2 linked regions of the Cricetulus griseus genome follow. The protein of the gene in region 2 purifies or fractionates together with the protein of the main gene of each other region. This does not show direct contact. Links are inferred from orthologs where the notes say so. Each region holds a gene or a part of one and is shown on either strand. Other genes may lie near its edges.

The links. The genes of interacting proteins can lie anywhere in the genome.
Region 1: the proteins of Retreg1 (region 2) and Gabarapl1 purify together in Homo sapiens (affinity purification with western blotting; 3 studies listed by BioGRID and IntAct, with this or other methods). This does not show direct contact. The link is inferred for Cricetulus griseus from reciprocal best matches to the Homo sapiens genes RETREG1 and GABARAPL1.

The regions. Positions count from the first base shown.
Region 1 is NC_048601.1:16,531,385-16,538,847, reverse strand, and holds the start of Gabarapl1 (gamma-aminobutyric acid receptor-associated protein-like 1), read left to right. Parts: upstream 1-2,618; 5' UTR 2,619-2,887; coding exon 2,888-2,977; intron 2,978-6,662; coding exon 6,663-6,741; intron 6,742-7,463. UniProt on the Homo sapiens protein: Ubiquitin-like modifier that increases cell-surface expression of kappa-type opioid receptor through facilitating anterograde intracellular trafficking of the receptor. Involved in formation of autophagosomal vacuoles.
Region 2 is NC_048595.1:356,640,855-356,648,476, reverse strand, and holds the start of Retreg1 (reticulophagy regulator 1), read right to left. Parts: upstream 3,933-7,622; 5' UTR 3,762-3,932; coding exon 3,466-3,761; intron 1-3,465. UniProt on the Homo sapiens protein: Endoplasmic reticulum (ER)-anchored autophagy regulator which mediates ER delivery into lysosomes through sequestration into autophagosomes.

The sequences.
Region 1 (7,463 bases), on a different chromosome or scaffold from region 2:
CTTCTATCCTTAATACAATACTAGCATTTTCAGTGTGATGACACTTCTTGGTTACTAAAGTAGCTCTAATTATCTTCTCATGCCAAACTCTTGTGGAGGTGTTAGTTTTTATTTGAATCTTCTAATTTCCCCAGGTGAGCAAAGTAGGGAACAATTAACAATAGTTAACTGATTAAATATTAATCATTTCCTGGGGATTGTATTATAACATGACTTCTTTAATTCATATATAGTTGGCTATGCCCTATCAATTAGCACAAAGTCAGAAAGCCAGAGAATCAAGACTATTTAACTTCATTACCCTACTAGATTTTTCTTTAACCTAAGACTGTTAAAGATGAAGGACACACAGAATGTTTGTATGAAGAGAATATTACACAAATAAAATATACTTCTTGAAAAAATTGGAAAAAAAAGTTTCAACCTCATAAACATAAAAGCCAGAACAGTACAAGGAGCTTTTAGAATGGCTGCATGAGAAAATACATCTTTTTAACACTGCGTTTTGTCTGATTGAAGAAAGGGATTTTAAACTATTTTTATCTGTTTGAATGTTAAATTTATAAACATACCTCTCTACATTTTAAAGAGCCTTCTTAGACTAAATAGTAAAATTGTAGGAATAGATAAGTTTTGTATTTTTTAAGTGATTTTTGTTTTATTTGTGTGGGTGCTCTGCCTGCATATATGTATATGCACCATGAGCATGCAGTGCACAGCAGAGGCCAGAAGAGTGCACCATATCCTCTGGAAATGGAGCTACCACTCCTGAGTTGTTTACTTTGCTGGAATTCAAACCTTGATCCTCTTGTAGAGCAGCCCCTGCTCTTAACCATTGAACCATCTCTCCAGCTCCCAATACATTTTGTATTTTTACGTAAACTACTAGCATTTAGAAAACCCTCATCAATTATTAGCTAATATTGCATTTTTTATTTTTCATGCTATTAAATACATTGTCACTGGGCTGAAGAATTAACTGCCCTTCAATTAACTGAGATATACATATCTATAAAAGAACTGAAAGTCACTCAGAAAATAACAATATTACTATTTTAATCCCCGGGTTCATCTTACCTGATTGTAAAGTTTTCTTCTGAAAGATTTAATTGTATTTGAATCAAAGGTAAAATGATGAACGGGGCATTAAACTAGTTTCAAGTTGAAAATAAAGCCTGAAAATTATTAATATAAACATAATGATGTGATGCATTACCTCACTGATCTTTATATGTAGGGGCGATTCAAAGATTCCTGGAGAAAAACAAGAAAGTTGGCTATGCATTTCATTTTGTTTTGGTATTTAAGTTTTAAGTTTAGCTTATTTTATTTTCTGGGCTTTTTGTCTGTTTGGTTTTTGTTGTTGTTGTTTTTCGAGACAGGGTTTCTCTGTGGCTTTGGAGGCTGTCCTGGTACTAGCTCTTGTAGATAAAAGGCGTGCTCCACCAACTGCCTGGCTATTTTCTGGTCTTTTAAAGGCCAAGCCACTGAGAGTAATTTGAAAGGCAGAAGAAGAAGAAGAAGAAGAAGAAGAAGAAGAAGAAGAAGAAGAAGAAGAAGAAGAAGAAGAAGAAGAAGAAGAAGAAGAAGAAAGCCGGCAACAAGGGCTGCTTGGCTGCTTGGCTTTAGAAGTCATTCTATTTGCACAGCACAAAGCATCCTCGAACCCCTACCTTTACCATTTCTAATGCTCCCCAAATACAGGTCTGGAGAGTCACTGTCAGTAGGATCAGTATTCTGACCCAGCATCCAAAGATTCCCAGTAGGAAACCCGATATGCCAGAGGGACCTGGGCCATCCGACCCCGGCTGTGCGGCTTAGGGTCTTCCACTAGGGTGACAGCCAGAGCTTTTGGTTCCCATGAGGCCTTTTCATCAGGACAACTCTCCAGCAGATGGTACCAATTCCCCAGGAAAGTAATGTTGGTCGTCACCTAAACTGCTTGATCTCTGTATGTTTAAGAACCCAGGACCACACTTCTGGGTGAACAGGACAAAGTGAATGGAATCATCTCCCTTTCAAACGTGCATGAAGCCCGGTGTTCATGGCTGGCATCTCCTCTTCTAACCTTGATGACCTCATGCTTTTTCACCCTTACACCTCTGCAAAATCCCTGAGTCACGCACTGTTTATGTTGTCTCAGTACCAGCTCCAGCACAGATCCAAAGGAAAGGACGCCAGAGTAGGGAGGAGGAGCTGGGGTGGAGAAGCCAGGCCAGCCACGGGTGCCAGGCAAAGGTCAAAATGCAAGCACAGGACATTTCAGCGTGGGCTACAGATCTCGTGATGCCTGGCACTTTTCCACCACCAGACGCCTGATCCCATTGCTCTGGAAACAGCTGGATTTTCTTCCTGTGTGTTTGTTTTGGGCACCAAGCAAGAAACATGAAGGGGAGTGAAGAAGACATTTGTTAGAGCATTCTTGGGGTTAAAAGACATCTTTAATATCAAATCACAACAATAAAAGACAAGACACAGAGTTTTTATTTTCTAGAGTGATTTAGGAAAGCTTAAGCGTAATGGGCACACACACACAAATAATCGATGTTTCTGTCCACCCCCATCCAGCAGATCCTGCGCGCCGGGGGCGGGGTGGGGCGGGGCCTCGTGATGTCACAACACCGCCCTGGTGTTTTTGTGTTCCCAGCTCTTGGGAAAAGCCACCCGATTTCTTTACCTGGTGGTCCTTTACCTTCGGGCGGGGAGATCCCCAGGTCCCTCTCTTGGACGTCTGGCCACGTAGTGCGGTGACGGGCGTGTGGGGGCTGACGCGGGCGGAGCGATTGTGATAAGGTTGACATTGACCCGGGGGCGGCCAGAAGCGAGACGCAGTCACCAGCGCGCGCAGCAGGCCCCGTCCGGGGAGCCCCCCAACCTGCGGTCCATCATGAAGTTCCAGTATAAAGAGGACCATCCCTTCGAATATCGGAAAAAGGAAGGTGAAAAGATTAGGAAGAAATACCCGGACCGGGTGCCGGTGAGTGGGGGCGGGGAGGGGGAGAGCGAGCAGGGAAATTCGGGAGCCGGTTGCCCCGGAGCGCTGGAGGGTGGCCCTGGAGCAGGGGGGTCCCCGGAATCCCATAATCCTGGCCGGCTCTGACAAACCCATATTGCCAGGACCAGTGCCCACCTCTGGCATCCGGGGTGACTCAGCGGATTCAGCTCCCGCGGAGGTGGGGAATGTGCGCGTGGCGCGGCCTGTGTGTGCGGGAGCCGCTGCTTGGGGGCCCCAGATGGGACGCGCTTGTAGACCACGCAGCGCATCCCCGGAGTGGCAGGTGCGGTGGTGGTGAGCCTTGGGCCCATCCATGTCTGCCTAAAGAATCCGGGTTCCGTCCTCATTTCCTTGAGCGCATTGGGGGAAAAACTTGAGAAGTCAGTAGATTCTGCGCTGCGTTTTCTTAGAATTTAAGAGGCGGCGGCGGAGAACCCCCACCAGGCGGGCCCGCAAACAAGGTCACTCTGCGCCACAGTCAGCTTGCTTCATCATCATCACTGCCTCCCTGGCCATGTGGTGCTAAAGAGGACCTTGCCCTGCACTGCTGATGTGTTGGGCCTTGGACCCCAAGGGCGAGGACTGAGAACCTTTTCCTCCGCGAATTGTACCCCGATTTAAACGGCTAAAACCTATTTGATGCAGTGAGGAGAAAAATAATAAGGGAGTCTTCTTCAGCATCCGGGTGTTTTTCCCTTTGCCCCCCCTCCCCCCGCCCACTTGCCTGATTTTTTTTTTTTTTTCTTCTCTTTTAAAGGCTGCGCAGCAGAATTGGAAGCCGAGGACGACATTACTGTTAGATATGGTAGCTAGAGGAGAAGGGACTTTTAAAGTCGTTCTCTTTATCTGTACAGGCAATGATGTTAGATTAGCATTACTCATAGCTTTAATGGGTAAACGAGCCGGACTTACCTAATAATTTTTCTTGATGCATAAGTACTGTTCGTGGTGGTGGTGGTGGTGAGGGGGGGTTTCCTCGGTCCTCTCAGCTATGGCTAGCAGAAGAAATGTAGGCTCAACTGGGAAAAGTCCTCATCCCCATTTCCTGTTAGGAAGGGGAGAGTTAACTATTCCACTGTATGCACCAGGGTCTTTAGGGAAAGGCTGGAAACACGCTAGTCATTTCTTCTTAGCACGCAGTCCTGCACATATTACTTCCATGGAGGATTGTCTTGGATTTGTCACCCCCCCTTCATATTTTAAAATGACACATGGCCCACAGAGCTGGCAGCACTCTGAATGCCTTGTCTGCCTATTCACTGACTCGACTCACACCATTAAAATCTAGGTGCTACAGACATAAGCCTGCAGTACTGGGGAGTGAAGTCCCCACCCAAAGGTGGGGTCTGACAGTGCTAGCTGCCAGAGAGGGATTTCAGCCTGGCTGCCATGCTTTGGGCTTCCAGAGCCCTTGACCTTTAGGTTGTCCCCTTTCCCAGTTTGTGTAGTCCAGTTCGATTAACCAGAATTAAGTGTTACACCTTACATAGGTGAGTCCTGGAAGTAGGTTAAGTCTTGCTGCCATCTGGAGTTCAGCTGGTAGACCAGTGCCAGCCAGGAAACTTAAGTGAATGTCTACCCGTTACTCAGAACTTTAACAGAAACACAAGCTGCGGTGTCCGTCTTCAGATTCAGTTAAAACCTCTATAGTTTCTCAAATGAGCCTCTCTCATTCGCTTGGTTACAGCACTCACCCAGGATATTTTAGTTTCTCCTTATTCTTCTCCTGCTTATGACTTGATGTTGAATGTTTTATTTCAGTGATAATTTATAAGCTAAGAAAGATCACTGGGATCTCATGGATCCTCAACTTGAGAGATTCTCCACTTATGGCTCTTACCCTGTTTGTGACAGAAGAGCTCTGCTAAATGGCAGAGATTTGGGTTGGGGGCAGCATTGGGCATGGAGCCCTTTGCCCAGTGGTCCCTCTATCACTGGGTATACCCTTATCCTCAGCGATGTGGTTTTGTTTCAGCCTTGTAACCTGAGTTCCTGTACCTTGGGCACAGAACTGAATCTTACTATGTCCAGGTGTTTACAGGAAAGCCACTAAGTGTCTAAGGCAGTCTGACTCACAACTTAAGCTTAGCCTCAGAAGAGGTATGTGTGGGCCTTGGGAGAGGGGATCATGGGATCTTGAAATAACAGTGTGTTGGAAACCTGTAATAGCAGGAACTGCTGGACACACTATTTTTAAACATTTGTAAACAGCCCTATGGCGTATGAGCCACCTGCCACAGATGGAGAAAACAGTTTTCTCTATTCTTGGAGGAAGCTGCCAGGTCTCAGAGTCCCTGTGGTAAATACCAGGGCTCCCCCTGTTTCCTGTGCTCTGCCGTGTATAGCCTGCCTTTTCTCCTTACTTTTTTTTTTTTTTTGTCCATTACTAATCTCCTTTTCGAACTCTTTTCTACTTAATTTGAATGTTTGGATTCACCTCTGTCTACCCAGGCATTTACATGTATTTATTCATATGGTCTTTTGGGGGTGCTGCTTGTTCAGAAGCCCAGAGAGGTCACAGACATCCTGAAGGTCACACAGCTTCTAGGGAGACTTGTCCAGTGTCTGTTTCTGCTTCTTCACTTTTTGGTAGTTCCCATTTCTCATATCTAAGATGCGCTCTTCAAAACAAAGAATCTAATGTTAATATTCTTGCAATGTATTTTCTATTTTCTAAGTAAATATATAAACATCTACCTAAGAGTCCAGGCGGTGGTGGCACACGCTTTTAATCCCAGCACCTGGGAGGCAAAGACAATCAACTCTCAGTGAGTTCAAGACCAGCCTGGTCTACAGAGTGAGTTCCAGGACAGCCAGGACTGTTACACAGAGAAACCCTGTCTCAAAAAACAAACAAAAAATCCCAAGATTTTATGTGTATTTTTCATTACAAAAATGAAAATTCTTTAAAAATGTTACTAAAAATATTTAATGTAGATACTGAAAGTCCCTTAAAATCCTAACATAGTTAATAATGTTGAATAATTCAGTGCCCTCATAAAGTGCCATAGTTTTCACTTAGTGGTGAACACTTTTTTTTACAAAGATTGAAATCTGAGCCACATTGCCCGTGTTTATTAGCTGTCACTGTGGCAGTGTCTGAGACAGTCAACTTGAAGGCTGTGCACATGTGAGTGGCCGTGTGTGTGATTGTGTGCAGATATGCATGCATGTGGAGGAGACCAGACGTTGATGTCTGGTGTAATTCTTGGTTACTGTCCACATCACTCACTGTGAACCCAGAGCCTGCCAGTCCAGCCAGACAGTTTGGCCCAGGGATCTCCAGTCTCTGCCTTCCCAGCACTGGGATAAGTGGTGGGCCTACAGGTCCAACCTGGCATTTGCACAGATTTTAGGGATCTGAATTTAGTCATCACACTTTCACATATGGTGGTTTTACCACCGCGCCATCTCTCCAGTCCAAAAATGGTATTTTAGAGGAAAAAATAAAACTAATAGGTCATTAAGTTATCTTAGGAGCACAGAACAGCATTTTGATTCTTTAATAAAATACCATAAGGTAAGTGTCTCTTACTGTTCTTTATAAGGTAATTTGTAGTTGCATGAGATCAAGGAGCACTGGAAGCAAGGACTGGAAAATCACATTGAGCCTAGATGGTGTGGAAGGAAAAAGGCAGTTTTCATCCCCTCTCCTTTCTCCTTCTAGGTCATCGTGGAGAAGGCTCCTAAAGCCAGGGTCCCTGATCTGGACAAGAGAAAGTACCTTGTCCCTTCTGACCTCACTGGTAATGGTCTTTCCTTCTGGCCCTTCATTCCAGGCAAAGCAGTTTTGATCTGTATTTCACGTCTTAAGTTGGTGACCAAATGGGTTGTAACTACGCATGACTTCTTCAGGGAGCTGGCCAATGTGGCTAGGCACAGTCTGTCCTTCCATTTCCAATTCTGTGTGGTATTTCCCAGTACCTTACCCATGTGCCTTACTCATGGAGACACAGCAAAGCAGCACGCTGGAGTAAAGAAACAGTTGTCTGTAATTTACACCACGTTAAAACTCAGCCACGGTGATCCTGAGGTCGACTTGTTCCAAAGCCAGCACAGTGTTTTCGGAGGATCACGTTTCAGAGATTCATATCTAAATGCTTTATCTCTCAGTCGCGTTTCTGTTTGGGAGATTAAAAACTACAGACCCTAGCATATCTTCTATTTTCAGTTATATGTATTTAGACTTTACCATGTTCTTAGTGAACTGCCAGGTGCTTTCTAGATACTCTTGACGGTTTCTTTTAGATATGTTTGCTCCGGAGTTTATGCATTTGTCTGTCAGCCTTCTAGAAGCTTTTCATTGTTTGCAGGGAGAGGCTAAACGCTGGTTATGCTCATTGCCCTGACACTTGCCCCATCATGCTGGGTTGTCCAGAATCCAGTGGATCTCTTCGAAGTGTTAGCTCTCAGGGTAGGAATGGAGCTGGAAAGACATCAGGGGTCCATTTTTAGACGGATGCTTCAG
Region 2 (7,622 bases):
AGTATGTCATATATAAGAATATGTATGTGTATCTGATTAGAGAATGCTACCTCTGTGGTTTCATCTCCCATGTGTGTGTCCTTTGATCAGACTGGAGATAATCCAAATCCCCATGGCCCATTTCACTCCTGGTTTTCCAGTGCACAACACCAGTATTACAGATCATAGTCAGGTGGTCAATGTCAAAACTTCTGAGTCAAATTCAAAATCCTGAAAGCAATTATTAGTACCAGATATTAAATTATGCAAACTGCAAATGTGCAAAGTTATTTTCCACAGGAATGGACCAGCAGCAATGATACATGAAGCACGACACTGGGGATGCTAAGATTTGGATTTTTCTTTTTTGTTTCTTTTTGAGACAGGGTGTCATTCTATAGCCCATTATATTTTAACACAATGACTTCTTTTTCTCATAGAAAATAAAAGCTTTAGCATTCCCAAGACACAGAATATTAAGAACCAAATGAGGCCATAGGCCAACCAGGAATGATGGCTCATATGTTTAGTGTTAGTACTTAGGAAGGTGAGGCAGGAGGATTGTTATGAGTTTGAGACCAGTTGGATAACAGAGTAGTAACTTGTTTTTTCTTTTCAGACAAAAAAAAAGGAAAAGAAAGGAGGAATGAAAATAAAGACCAGATCATTTGAGAGGAAATAAACTGGCTTTTTTTTTTTTTTGCTTTTAAACTATAAAAGCATATTTTAACACGAGGAAGAAATAAAGAAGATTTTAAAAAAAGTTCTGGCATTAATAAAGCAGTCATAAAGTCTGGTAAATTATAACACAAAAGCAACAAGTGCTTCAGAATTCAGAGAAGGATGGCTGTCTGTCAGAGGAAATGCATGCATGGAATCCAGCCACTGCAAACAGGAAAAACAGAGCAAATAAGATCCTAACAAGGTTCAATGTCTGCCCACTATCTATCTTTCCATCAGAGTGGTAAATAAAATGGATGGGACACAATACACATATGGAAAATATCAAATATACTTTCTAATTATCTATACAAAAAATAGTTCCAACAGTTGTTCTTAAAGAATATGTCATAGGGAGACTGGAGAGGTGGCTCAGTCAGGAATGTGGCTGCCACATAGCATAAACACCTAAATTCAGTTCCCTAGCACTACCTGAAAGCCAGGAGTGATGGCATGTATCTGTAACTCCAGCACAGAAATCGAGAGATAGGCAGATCCCTGAGGCTCATTGACCAGCTGTATTGATGAACTCTAGGTTTAGTGAGAGACCTTGTTGCAAAAAACTAAGGGAGAACAATTTAAGAGAGCCACTGGCCTGTACTACATGCACACACATAGATGTGGACCAGCGACACACACAAACTCCCACACAACCCACACACACACACACACACACACAAGAATACATCATAGGAAAAATATTTGCAACTCATTACATTAATTATGCTAAAATCCATCCTATAAAAAGAGCTTTAGTAAGTCAATAAGAAGATCAGGGTCTAAAGTGAAGAAACAGACAAGATTTGTTAGAGTTAAATGGGCACTGCAGAGAAAAGATAATCACAGTGGCCTTGAGCACAAGGAAAACATTCAGTCTCAGACAAACACAAATTTAAAACCATACCAAAGTACCCTTTCCACCTAGTAGACTTACAAGATTAAAATGTTTTTCAAAAATCTTGGCAAACGTCTAGCCTTGCAAGCAGTCACACTCACTGATGATGGGCAAATAAGCTGGTAGAACCCCAATGACAATACAGTTAACAGCCATTGAAATGACAGACAAGGGCACATGCCCTCTGACCCAACAGTGTTTTACTTGTGGGAATCATCCTTTAAAATGTTTTTTTATACACGCCAAATGCTACACATACAAGACTCAGCTATCACACTAAAAATTCAAGCGCTGGGAACTCTGCCTGAGCCTCCTTAAAAGGTTCAATACTCTGAGACCTCTTACCAAGTAATTCTATGCATTGAAAAAAACTAGGAAGTGACCAACAGGCACCCACGCTTACATGAGGAATCCTTACTATTCTAGCCCACAGTGTGCACAGAACACAGTGCTTCTGCTGAAACAGACAGAGAGCTAACAGCCCCAGTGGCCTCTGGGAGGAAGCTGATAAACTGGGGAATGGGCGTGGGAATGAGATTTTCAAAGGGAAGAGATTTTCAAAGTGTTTAGTTTTGTACCTTCAAACTTAAAGAATTTGGTGTCTTTAGATAGATAAGATTTAAAACATGCTGCTTGTTGGTAAATACGTGAGACAAAGCCAGCCCTCAGACTTGGTTTCCTGCCCCAGCCTAGCTCAACATGATATAACCTATTTATTTAAGGGCTCAGGTAACCTTACAACAGGATAGAGAGTTGGGATAAACTCCAGAAATAGCAATAGCTGAGAGACCCAAAGTTAATTAACATCCGCAGACAGAAACAAGACACAGCTCGTTTTCAGAGTAAACCTAGGCAAGCTGAGATCTAAAGAAAATCCTTCATGCTGCCCAAGTTAATCTAGGAAAATGACAGGCTATGTCTGTCTCTCTTGTGCATTTATTTCTCAACTTTGGGGTTAAGAAATCTATGTCCTGTAAATAGGTATCTGTTAGTGAAACTGCTTGTTCTGCACTGCGAGGGTCGTGTTTGTTACGAAGACAATTGGCAAATAAGGTTTTTCTCTGCCCTCAGAGCACTAGTACCACATGACAGGGCACAAAATCCTTCGGGGATGGAGCCAGATATTGCCTGGTGCTTACCTAGGCAGAACACTTTCTGGTGAGACAAACCTGTTGATTGGGGGCTATTCAAAACACATTCCTGCCTATTCCCTCTGGAGTTCGCCTGAAATTACTACTGCCTGCCCTCCACCCACCCACACACACACACACACACACACCACGCTGTGCAACTGGGGAGGGGCGGGGCGATGTGCCTAATCCACCTGTTTGTTTACCTCCTGCTTTCTCATCTGGGAGCAAAACCTGTAAACCCTACCCTCCAGGGGAAGGAAAAACAAACCATTCACTGCCCATCTCCGGTGGCTGATGAAGGGCAGCAGTTTTGATACTGTACCTAAACTGATCCAGATACGCCTCTGTGGGTGCAAACATCAATTCATGCCCAAGCGCCCATGTACCACCATGCTTGTAAGTACAGGTCAAGACCTGCGAGTTGGCAATACCAGGGCCGAAGTTTTCAAGAGCTCTGGGACATCCCTCGACACAGGAACACGTGGGTCATCAGACCATCACCTCCCCTTGGAGGGTGGACATCTGCAGCAAAGGTGACAGCCACTCACAGGGAAGTGCGTCTGGAGGAAAGTTGAAGCTCTTGCTTGACTACCTGTTTTCAGACAGGTGACCAAGCAAGTGGGACGGGGCTGTCACTTCCACCGCAGCGCCCAGCTCACCCTGGCCAGGCACATCCGGCCCCGGGCGCCCCAAGGTCACCTGCCCTCCGGGGCGCCCCCACCCAGCCCCAGAGCTCACCAGAACAGCAGGTTGGCACCCAGGAAGGCGAGCAGGCTGCGCAGCGGCCTCTTCCAGCTCAGGAGCTCGTCCGCGCGACATCCCAGCCACAGCACCGGCTCCCCGAGCAGCCAGGTCAGGGCGGCGGCCACCTTGTCCGCGGCCTCCTCCTCCTCCTTCACCTGCGGCCCCGCGCCCTCCGGCCCTGCCTCGGGTCCAGCCTCCTCCCCGGGAACCCCGGGCCTCGGCGCCGGTTCCTCCGCAGCCGGGGCTGGGCATCTTTGCGCGGCGTGCTCCCCGGGCGCCGGGCTCGCCATCTTCAGCGGTGCTTGGCTGGCTGGCGGGGACGGGGACGGGGACGGGGACGGGGACGGGGATGGGGACGGGGAGGGGCGCGGGCGGGCGGGCGCGCGCGCCTGGCGGTGAGCGCCCGGAAAGCAGCGGCGACCGCTCAGGGTTCGGGGTTCGCACCGTGGGGCGCCGGCAGCTGGGTGCCTTGTGACGTCAGGCCCGGCCGCGCGGGGGAAGAGGGTGCGGTCAAGTTCGCGCAGGGGCGGGGCCGCCCTGGGCCTGGCTCCGCTCGCTCGCTCGCTCGGTGGATGCGAGCTGGGCGGCGTCCGTGGGTAGCTGGGGACCAGAGGAAAATCCTTCCTTTTCCCTTCCAGCTGAGTAGGCCAGGTAGAGAGGACTCCTCTCAAAGGAAGTCTGGGGTTTGGATTTTAAAGGGGCGAGGAGGGGACAGTCTCACTTTGTCCAGCCACAGCCACCAGTCTTCCATCCTTCAGTATTGAAGAAAATGTCCGGATGCTCCCGGGCCGTTAATTTCAGCACTCAGGACTCATCACGCCCCTGTCCAGGTCCCTTACAGGGACGCCCTGCCCAACTGTGTCAGATACAAACGCTGACCTGGGAAAGGAAGAAAAGCACATTTGGGGTCAAGGAAGGGCCTCTGGTTTGGCCCACTGATTTTAGGAGTGAGGACCAGACAGGCCGCAGTGCAAACAGGTAAAGACTCTTGGTTAAGTGAGCTGTTTTTTGGCTCTGTAGTGAGAGTTGCTTTTTGCAGTGTTGGGGAGCAGAGAAGCCAGAGGATGGCCGCCTGTGACCCTACTCTGCTACTGTCCCAAGCTTCGGAGATTGCTGCTTGATTGGCTGTGTTCTCCATATCACAAGGGGACCTCAGGGCAGAGGTGGAGAATATTGCCCCCCCAATGTGGTTCTCCTGGTTGAATGTGGGAGAGAGGAAGGAATGGCTGTGAATGTCCAGTCTCCGTTTGTTCCTCCAGAATAGAGTACCCATCCTTCAGTCCTGAGAATTGATGCATCAGGGCCATCGTCTGTATCCAGCCTACTTTCACCGATGAAGTGGTTCATTCCCAAAGCACTGGAAAACCGTTGCCTCAAAGGAGCCCCTGGGTTAAAGTTTGTAATGTCCATCTAGATGGCCAATATAAACCTCTGTGTCTATGTATGCAAACATCTATGCATTATAGACTAGATGTGGACAGTTACCTGAATGTGTGTTGTAGTTGAAGGGAGCACATGCCTAGGGTTCACAGACAGGTTTGTTGACCACCTACTATGTGCTTGGTGCATTACTAGGCCCTGTGGGTGTGGCTTCCACCTGCAGAAGGCTCACAATCCAAAAGGCACCACTTATAATTGATAAATGCAGTGATGGAAACCCTCAGTGACATGAGTCCTCGTTTAAATTGCATCCAAAGTCAAGTTTCGGAAGGGTTTGGGATGTGATGGCATCTGCCCTCACTTGTAAAACCCAGAGAGATGGGGGATGGGTGGCAGAGGGAGCTGTGCTTCCTGTTGGGAGGTTAGCGTGGAAGAAGGCCTGGATGAGTTGCAGATAGAAATCAGGCATTGTATTCTCTGAGGACCTTCAGTTATTCCTCAAGTGACAATGTTTTTTTGTTTTTGTTTTTTAGCTGAAGGCAGTTTGCAACCCTTTGTCATTTCAACTTGCTTTTTTTAGGGGTACTCAGGTGACACCTCCATAGAAAGAGGCCCTGGAAGTAATGAAAAAGCAGTGTGGAAATGATTCAATCACAACACTCCCACACCACACACACACACATACACACACACACACACACACACACACACACACACACACACACACACACACACGAGACTTGGTCCAGTGTGAGATTTCCTTGCCCTTGGTTGAGGAACTTTGGGGAGATAAAGATGCTTTGGGGTATAATTTGGTTTCTGTTTAACACTCAATGGAGATTTGCACTGAGAATCCAGGGCATTGGGATTCCAGAACCAGTAAGAACCGGTATCCCTGCCATCCAAACCCAGTGTCAATAAGCTTTCAGAGACAAGTTTACAAGATTCTTCACATTCCTCCTCCCTCTAAATTCTAATTATTGTCGTCAGGATTTGTGGATGCAGTAAAAGCTGCTGGCAATGAAGTCACCAAAAGCTCTGGCTGCTGTGTGCACTTTGCAGTCTTCATTCTCTCCCTTTATGATAAATCTTCCCAGCAGCTCTGCCTTCTGATTGGCGTTCTCACCCCTCTCAAATAACTATGGAGAAAAAGCTGCTCAGATGGTGTTGTGGTAAAGACTGGACTGACTTCGATCATTCTATCTTCTTTGCCTCTGACCTCTAATAAATCCTGAAAACTTGTAGGATAGGAGTCAACACTACGGTAGATACATACAACAGTACTACTGGGTAGTTTTTCTTTACCTAATTATCTTTGTGATGCCTGAGTAATGTATTCACTCCAAGCATAGGAAACTATTGCTGAATAGAGGCAATAAGTCTTGTTCCCTACCTGTAATAGCTTTGATGTTTAAAAGCACTGTGGTGCAGGGGTGGTGGAGCAAGGCTTTAATCCAAGCACTGGTGAGGCAGAGGCAGTAACAGGAGCAGGCTGATATCTGTGAGTTCAAGGCCAACCTGGTCTACATATCAAGCTCTGGTCCAGCTGAAGCTACACAGGGAGACCCCCCGACTCAAAATCTCAAAATAAATAATTAAAAATAAGTCCAGTGCCTTCAGTACTATTTAAGATTCCTTTTTGAATTTGTCCTTGGTGTTTATTGGAAACAGGGTCATGAATGAGATATATATATATATATATATATATATATATATATATATAATATATATATAATGAAGAGGGCAAGGAAGCTCGAAAGGTAATCCCCAAAAAATCAGAGGGAGAAAAAATTGTAACTACTGGGTGGAAAAAGAACCACTCTTGAAAAGGCTGGCACAAAGCACACAGGAGAAGGTAGAAAATTCTAACACAAAAGAAAAAGAATAAATAATTAACTCCTGGGTACAGAGTCTCATTGGGCAGAAATCAAGCTGAGCTTCAGAAGAGCTAGAAACACACCAGCCAGACTGTTTTTTCCCACTTTCCCTTTGGATTCCTGCCGTGAGTCCAGGGTTCTCAAGGAAAAGGAGTCACTATGCATGTTATATGTGCCATCACTCCTGCAGACAGAACTTTTGTGAGTTAACATTTTTCAAGCATTTCTAGCCCTATCTTCTTACCATGCCTTCTCTTCCTTATTCCTATCTTTCTGGACATTTTAGTCACTGAACCAAGACCCCCCAATAGCTCACTCTAAGCACAGATCAATAAGGACATCACATAACAGTAACAACAGAAAAGGAGATCTGACCCCACCTTACATCCTCCCCTGGTCTATTTCCTAGTTGGTATCACAAAAGTAATTAATTCTCTTTCCGTGTCAGCTGAATGTCTGTGGTGCTTGTAAAACAAGTCTATCCCAGCCAGATGTGTCCGTCTGAGCAGCATTCCCTAAAATAGGTGCTTACCGCAAACAAACGTACATTGCATGCTGGTCCCTCACATACCTGCTGGGATGCTCAGTTTGGATAGCGCTTCTGATGGCAAAGAGGGATCATATTTTCTTTTCTGTCCTAGAAGAGGTCATATCTGCAGATCATATGAGCATAGCAACACAAAGGCTTGCCCGAGTACCTTGATGTCTTTCTTGGGATCACTGAGTGTGTGTACAGTGACTGTGCCAATTAGGAAAGGCACCCCTAACTCTGAGCAGATTCAGCCCCAGATCAGAGAACACAGCTTAGAAAGCAGAGCACAGGATGGATGTCACCTCAGCTCCTTCTGTAGATGTCCTCAGTCAGTAGAGAAACGACCCAACTTTCCATCAGGT